2 linked regions of the Macaca fascicularis genome follow. The protein of the gene in region 1 interacts with the protein of each later gene in a pairwise test. Links are inferred from orthologs where the notes say so. Each region holds a gene or a part of one and is shown on either strand. Other genes may lie near its edges.

The links. The genes of interacting proteins can lie anywhere in the genome.
Region 2: the proteins of TNPO2 (region 1) and CAMK2D interact in binary tests that used the Homo sapiens proteins (3 or more experiments, as listed by UniProt). The two-hybrid records come from large-scale screens. The link is inferred for Macaca fascicularis from reciprocal best matches to the Homo sapiens genes TNPO2 and CAMK2D.

What each region holds. Positions count from the first base shown.
Region 1 is NC_088393.1:13,102,725-13,106,286, forward strand, and holds part of TNPO2 (transportin-2), read right to left. Parts: intron 1,640-3,562; coding exon 1,533-1,639; intron 1,440-1,532; coding exon 1,306-1,439; intron 1,227-1,305; coding exon 1,145-1,226; intron 1,072-1,144; coding exon 949-1,071; intron 842-948; coding exon 723-841; intron 1-722. UniProt on the Homo sapiens protein: Probably functions in nuclear protein import as nuclear transport receptor. Serves as receptor for nuclear localization signals (NLS) in cargo substrates.
Region 2 is NC_088379.1:119,046,598-119,050,159, forward strand, and holds part of CAMK2D (calcium/calmodulin-dependent protein kinase type II subunit delta), read right to left. Parts: intron 3,415-3,562; coding exon 3,320-3,414; intron 952-3,319; coding exon 829-951; intron 1-828. UniProt on the Homo sapiens protein: Calcium/calmodulin-dependent protein kinase involved in the regulation of Ca(2+) homeostatis and excitation-contraction coupling (ECC) in heart by targeting ion channels, transporters and accessory proteins involved in Ca(2+) influx into the myocyte, Ca(2+) release from the sarcoplasmic reticulum (SR), SR Ca(2+) uptake and Na(+) and K(+) channel transport.

The sequences.
Region 1 (3,562 bases):
TAGGACTTTTGTTGGAAGCACTGGTCAAAAATTGCTTTACTCGGAAGTTCCTAAGCTGCAAGGGCACAGAAGGCTACAGCACTACCCAGAGGAAAGGTTGTACCTATGTGCCTAAGAATGAAGACAACACAAGGGAAGCAGATCTGAGACCACATAGATGCCTTTCATATCCTTTGAGCTCCTGGATACAGCCACACCTGAAGCCTTTGTTGATTTTTTTTTTTTTTTTTTTGAGACGGAGTCTTGCTCTATCGCCCAGGCTGGAGTGCAGTGGTGTGACCTTGGCTCACTGCAACCTCAGCCTCCCGGGTTCAAGCGATTCTCCTGCCTCACCCTCCTGAGTGGCTGGGACTACAGGCGTGGGCCACCACACCCAGCTAATTTTTCGTATTTTTAGTAGAAATGGGGTTTCACCATGTTAGCCAGGCTGGTCTCGATCTCCCGACCTCGTGACCGCCATGCCTCAGCCTCCCAAAATGCTGGGATTACATGCGTCGGCCACCGTGCACGGCCATTGATTTTTCGTTTCTTTCCACCTAACAGTTACCTAATTTTGAAGTCTTTAAAAAGTGGCATTCTTGCCACTTACACATAAATATACACTGAATATAAACTGACAAGGATGTGGACTGAGAGAAGCATAGCAGGTGACCAGAAGGGAAGGCAGAGGCATAGAAAGGGGTCGAAGCTGGGGTGGGACAGTAGACAGCAGCAGTACTCACTGGACCAGATGGGAGGCCAGGACTTCCTTGCAGATGGGCTGCTCGGCCAGCGTCAGCCAGAACTCACAGGCCTCAAGGGCAACGTTCTCGTCATGGTCCTGGGTCCTCTGCAGCATGTACTGTGATAGCGGGGAGAAGCTGAGGCCTGGCCTGGGTAGGGGTGGCTCCCTGACCCTTGCCACCGGCCCCTTGCCTGCCTTCCTGGGCTGGCCTCGACCATGCACACCTGGATGATGCTGTGCATGTGGGGGATGAGCCTGTCGATCCGCACTTCCAGAAGCATCACCAGGGCGCGGCACACATTCTTCCGCACCTCGGGGTCATCATCCACGGCCAGGGCAAATAGGTGCTGCAGGGAGGAAAAGGGTCAGCTGTAGGGGCCCTTGGTCCTCACCCTGTCCACCCCCAGCCCAGCGTCCCACCTCAATGAAGGTGTCAATATTGTCCATCAGCGCCTGAGCCCGGTCCATGATGAACTGGTTCACGCAGGCGATGGCGTGGGACCTGGCGGGGAGCAGACACACGGGTCACCCTGAACCTGCCCACTCCAGGCTCCCTGAAGCCCCCAGAGAGCTGCACCCACCGGATCTTGGGACTGCAGTGCTTGAAGAACTGCAGGAACTTGGGGATCATGATGTTGAGGGGCCTGTTGAGCGCGTCACTGTCCAGAAGCTCTGATGAGTCTTCGCAGATCTTCTGCAGGGCTCCAAAGGCTCCCTGAGTGCAGAGGGGCAGAGAGACAAAGGTGGGTGGTGGGTGGTGGTCCCAGCCCCCCATACCCGCTCCGGCCATCTATGGCTTCTCGCCTACCTCACAAGTGTTGTAATCCTCCGAGTTGAGCAGGTTGCAGAGCTGGGGCAGCAGCTCGGGCCACATCTGCAGCTCACCCTTGGAAGCGATGGTGGTGATGAGAATGCCTGGGGCGGCCAGGAAAGGACGCTGCCTGAGGCCGGGCGGGGGCTGCCCAGCACCTCCCCTCCCACTGGGCACCCCCAGTGCTGCCTTTCTGTCCCCTAGCCCATGTATGCCCTCCACATCCCCCCCCTTTTTTTTTTTTTTTTGAGACGGAGTCTCACTCTGTCGCCCAGGTTGGAGTGCAGCGGCCGGATCTCAGCTCACTGCAAGCTCCGCCTCCTGGGTTCATGCCATTCTCCTGCCTCAGCCTCCCGAGTAGCTGGGACTACAGGCGCCCGCCACCTCGCCCAGCTAGTTTTTTGTATTTTTTAGTAGAGACGGGGTTTCACCATGTTAGCCAGGATGGTCTCGATCTCCTGACCTCGTGATCCGCCCGTCTCGGCCTCCCAAAGTGCTGGAATTACAGGCTTGAGCCACCGCGCCCGGCCTGTTTTTTTTTTTTTTTTTTTAAGAGATAGAGTTTGCTCTGCTGCCCAGGCTGGACTGCTGTGGCACAATCATAGTTCCCAGCAGCCTCGAACTCCTGGCCTCAAGCCATCTTCCCGCCTCAGCCTCCTGAGTCGCTGGGACTGCAGGCACATGCCACCATGCCCAACTAATTTTTAACATTTTTTGTAGAGATGGGATCTCACTATGTTGCCCAGGCTGGCCTGAAACTCGTGGCCTCAAGCAATCCTCCTGCCTCGGCCTCCAAAAGCACTGAGATTACAGGCGTGAGCCACCGCTCCTGGCCTTGACATAGGTAGAAGGGTACTCCTTGACTCAGTAAGCACCCTGAACCTTACTGTGAGTCAACTCTGTTCCAGGCCCTAAAGCACAGCACAGAGCAAAACACAAAATCGTCACCCTTGGGAGCTGGAAGTAAGCTACGAAGTAAAGATAAATTAGCAAAAAAACTGGGACGGGCCGTGCATAGCTGGCTCATGCCTGTAATCCCAGCATTTTAGGGGATCTAGGTGGGTGGATCACTTGAGGTCAGGAGTTCGACACCAGCCTGGCCAACATGGCAAAACCCCGTCTCTACTAAAAATACAAAAATTAGCTGGCTGTGGTGGGGGGCACCAGTAATCCCAGCTACTCGGGAGGCTGAGGCAGGAGAACTGCTTGAACTTGGGAGGCGGAGGTTGCAGTGAGCGGAGATCGCGCCACGGCACTCCAGCCCGGGACGGAGCAAGACTCCATTTCAAAAACCAAAAACAAAAACAAACAACTGGGAGGGGCCACATGCCAAGGACTAAAGGGGAGAAATATAGCAGAAAAGATGGTGAGAAAGGGCTGTAGGTGAAGCTAGCAACTTTAAATTGGGTGGCCAGAGCAGGCCTCATTGAGGTGACATCTTGATATCGAGGCAAGACCTGAAGGAGGTGAAGCAGGCAAGGGAGGAATCATCCAGGTCTCTGGGAAAAGGGCATCTCAGGCAGAGGACTCTATGGTGCGAAGGCCTGGCGTAAGGACAGGCATGATGTGCTAACAGATAGGTAAGGAGCCACTGGGGCTGGGCAGAGAGTGGGAGGGGAGAGAGGGAAAGGAGGTAAGGCAGGAAGGTGGCAGGGATGCTTGTACTGCCTATTAGACATCCAGGAGTCACATACAGCAGGCATCTGAGGTGCCAGGACAGTGCACGTATCTGGTGACAGAGCTGGATATGGGTTCTGTTAAGTGCAGAGATGGTTATTTACTGCCACAAGATGGCACTGTTTCCCAAGGGTGGAAACTGTCCATGACAGAAAGGTGCTCCCTGCAGTGGGTAGGTATAGTGAGGACCGTGGAACCTTAGCCACATCTCCTCACTCTCTGCACCTCAGCGCTTCCAGCCCTCAGAAGAGATAAAGAAAACCAGCCTCGGACACGCGCGGTGGCTCACGCCTGTAATCCCAGCACTTTGGGAGGCCGAGACGGGCGGATCACGAGGTCAGGAGATCGAG
Region 2 (3,562 bases), on another chromosome or scaffold:
TCTACTAAAAATACAAAAATTAGCCGGGTGTGGTGGTGGGCACCTGTAATCCCAGCTACTCGGGAGGCTGAGGCAGGAGAACTGTTTGAACCTGGGAGGCGGAGGTTGCAGTGAGCCAAGACTGTGCCACTGCACTCCTGCCTGGGTGACAAGAGCAAGACTCTGTGTCAAAACAAAACAAAATAAAAATACCAGAAAGTGTAGAAATAAATATTAATAATTTCTCAAATTATCTTTATTTTAATGTCTTCAATCACATTTCGATTGGGCTGCCTTTCATTTACTTAGTGCCGCATTTATCATCTTAGCATTTGACACATTCAGAAATTTACTGAAGTCTTCAGATTCCCCTCAAATTTCACACTATTTTTCTTAATATTTCTAAAAAATATTCAGACTACTATGACCATTCTTTTATGCCACTAAAACTCTACTCTCAGCTGCCAAACTTCATACTTGCTTCTAAAGTTGCCTAATGACAAATAATTGAACTTTGTTAAATCTTTTCTTCTGGGATACATTTAATTTTGGTGTTATTTTCTTGACCTTGTTCACGAGTATTGTCAATAATTGATACGAAGAATACTCATTCCTTTTGTTACTGCAAGCAATATTTGTTTAATAATCTATGCAATTCAGACTTTGCTACTGAAAATTGCATTTCTTCGCCATCATAAAATTCATTTTCTTAAACACCTTGAGTCAAAAATTCATTCATTCTGAATTTCATCTTTTTTTTGCAAAGTTATTTTAAATCCATAAACAATATATTAAAGGACAGCTTATTTTTCATTTTAGCTCTTGAAGTTTTTGAGAAGTTTTACTTACACAGATCCATGGGTGCTTCAGTGCCTCTGAGGCTGTGATACGTTTGGCAGGGTTGATAGTAAGCATTTTATTGATGAGGTCTTTGGCTTCAGGAGTTACCGTGTCCCATTCCGGTGATGGAAACTTCAAAAATATAAATTTATAAAAAGTTTAAAAAATAGACACACTCAATCAAACAGGGAAGAGTCAACTATATGAATCATTTCCTCAAGTAGTGAATTTCTTCATAAATTTACTTTTTATATAAGTTAAATTGTATCTAAAATAAATAAAATCATTTAGATCTATTCTCCCCCTCTATGTAGACAACTATATATATTAAAGAGTATCTGATAAGGGACCAACATATATACTGAGCTGCATATCACATATGGTAAATACATTTTAAAATTCAGAAAAAAAGAACTTAAGAATCTTCTATTCTCAAAGTATCTCTGCTTTGATCTGAACATGAAATTTTATACAATCTTTCTCATAATTATTTGCAAAACTTAATAAAAGCAAAGAGGTTGCTACATGTACCAATGCCATCGTAATATTATGCCAAGGTTCAAAATGAGGTATTATATACTTTCACAACTTATAAGCAGTAATAGCAGAGGTAATAAAACAGCTTCAATTCCTGTGCCAAAACTGACCTATTAATCATGGCTACTTGGAGTGCTGTAGTGAGAAGAATCTGAGGCTATAGGAGCTTCAGCAAGATTTCATTTTAACCCTTCAAGAAGTTTAATCTGCCCAATTACAAATTTCACCAAAGTATATGAAAGTAATCAAATCTTATAACTTCCCATTATTAATATTTTTTTACAATAAGACTATATAAGAAAGCTACTTCTCCTCTCTTCATGTTATTTTTTTGTACTGATAATAAATTACTTTTATATCATTAGCATGTTTAGTAGAAATACTGTCCTTCAATGATTAAGGGAAATTTATACTACATTAGTTGCAAAATGATAGAATATCAAGTTATTTTCCCAATTCATGAATTTGTGTAGACAATCTTGAAAAATAAAGCCATTGTCACTGTGTCAATGGAATTAGTCTATTTTTGGTAGTTTTAAAATGGGGAACTTGTGACTCACTGGCAAAATAAAGCACGAGAAAAATGATATTGACTCTAATACCTGTAATTTCTTGCCAGCTTAACAATTGTCATTTTTTAATTCCTGAAGCTTATGTTTGGCAGTTGTGAAAGCTTGCTAACTGTTAGGAGCTACTAAAGAAACATGCAAGGCTGTTTCTTAAATGTTGTACAGGTCTTTTGATAGCAAATGAGGGGTAGGTTCAGCATGAAGAAAGGTGAACTTTTTCCTCAGTTTTCTAATTTTCATGAAAGCACTCCTCCGGTATACCAAGCAGTGCATTTTCAGGGCTACGTCTGCCCAGAAAGGGGCTGGTTCTAGTCTGTAAAGATGGTGAATGTGCTAGCTGTTGCCATGTAAATAATAATTTGTTTCAATTACTAGTCTAGGGATAATGGAATGCTTCGAAATTCAAAGAATATACATTTTAAATTCTTGCTAACTGAAACACACATCCATCTAAATAGAAAATTTTATCAGAAATGCACTGAAGAGTTCATGAGACATGATAGAATACAATACAGACATTTTATATTTTCTCCTCTCACTTTCACATAAAGCTTTCAACTTGTGCACAAAAGGTGAACCCAATATTGCTACTCCATAGTTACTCCACTTAATGACACATGGAAAGCATGCCCAGATCCTGCACATGGATTTCCCTAGGGCTGTATGAGAGGAAACCAGAGAAAGTGGTAAATCGTATTTACAAGAATACATATCAAAGGAGAGCAAATTATATCATAAACACAAAGTTAAGCCATAAAGAGAAAGTAGATAAAGACTTCCTCTTCAGATTCTGAACTTAATTTATGAATATGTATATATATATCTACTTTCAAATATTCTAATTAAAAATTAAATATATTAGAATTATGATTTTCAAATTTTTCAATTGTGAAACTCATTCTTCAAATGAAAGCTTGCATAGCATCCCATTAGGTAAACAATACAAAAACAAAAAACAAAACCCAGAAACTGGTATAGTGGAATAATGTTCTATTTGATATGTGATCACTGCAAAATATTGTTGGTATATAATGTAAAATTATGTGATAGGTATTTGAGAATATAATTCAACTGAATGGGCAATAATCATTTTTATAGCAGAAATATTTTAATTTTTATGTTTTTAAAATGCACTAAGATCCAAACATTTTGACAAAGTTCTTCCTCAGAGACTTCACATGACTTTTCTTTTTATCTTAGGAGAGAGTGAGTTAAAAGGAAACATAAGCTGAACACATATGCTGCATTTCTTTTTCCCTTTCCTTAAGAGAGAGGGAAATAATAAGAGAAAGTGGTAAAAATTATAGTTAAAAGAAAAATGAAAAGATCTGGCTCTTGATCAGCAAGCAAAAAACAAACCTTCATCTAAAGTGATATAAATAGTTATTACATACATCATAAGCTCCAGCCTTGATCTGCTGATAGAGTCTGTGTTGGTCTTCATCCCAGAAGGGTGGATACCCCACAAGTAGAATATAGAGAATGACACCTGGAGAGATTACAGTATTAACATTATTTAAGTCATATAGAAAACAATAAATTAAATGTGGCTGATCCACAATGATATTAAGCTGTAGTTGTTAAAACAGAGAAAACTGGATTGTAGGAAAACTTCAGAGAGACGTGTTATGGTCTAT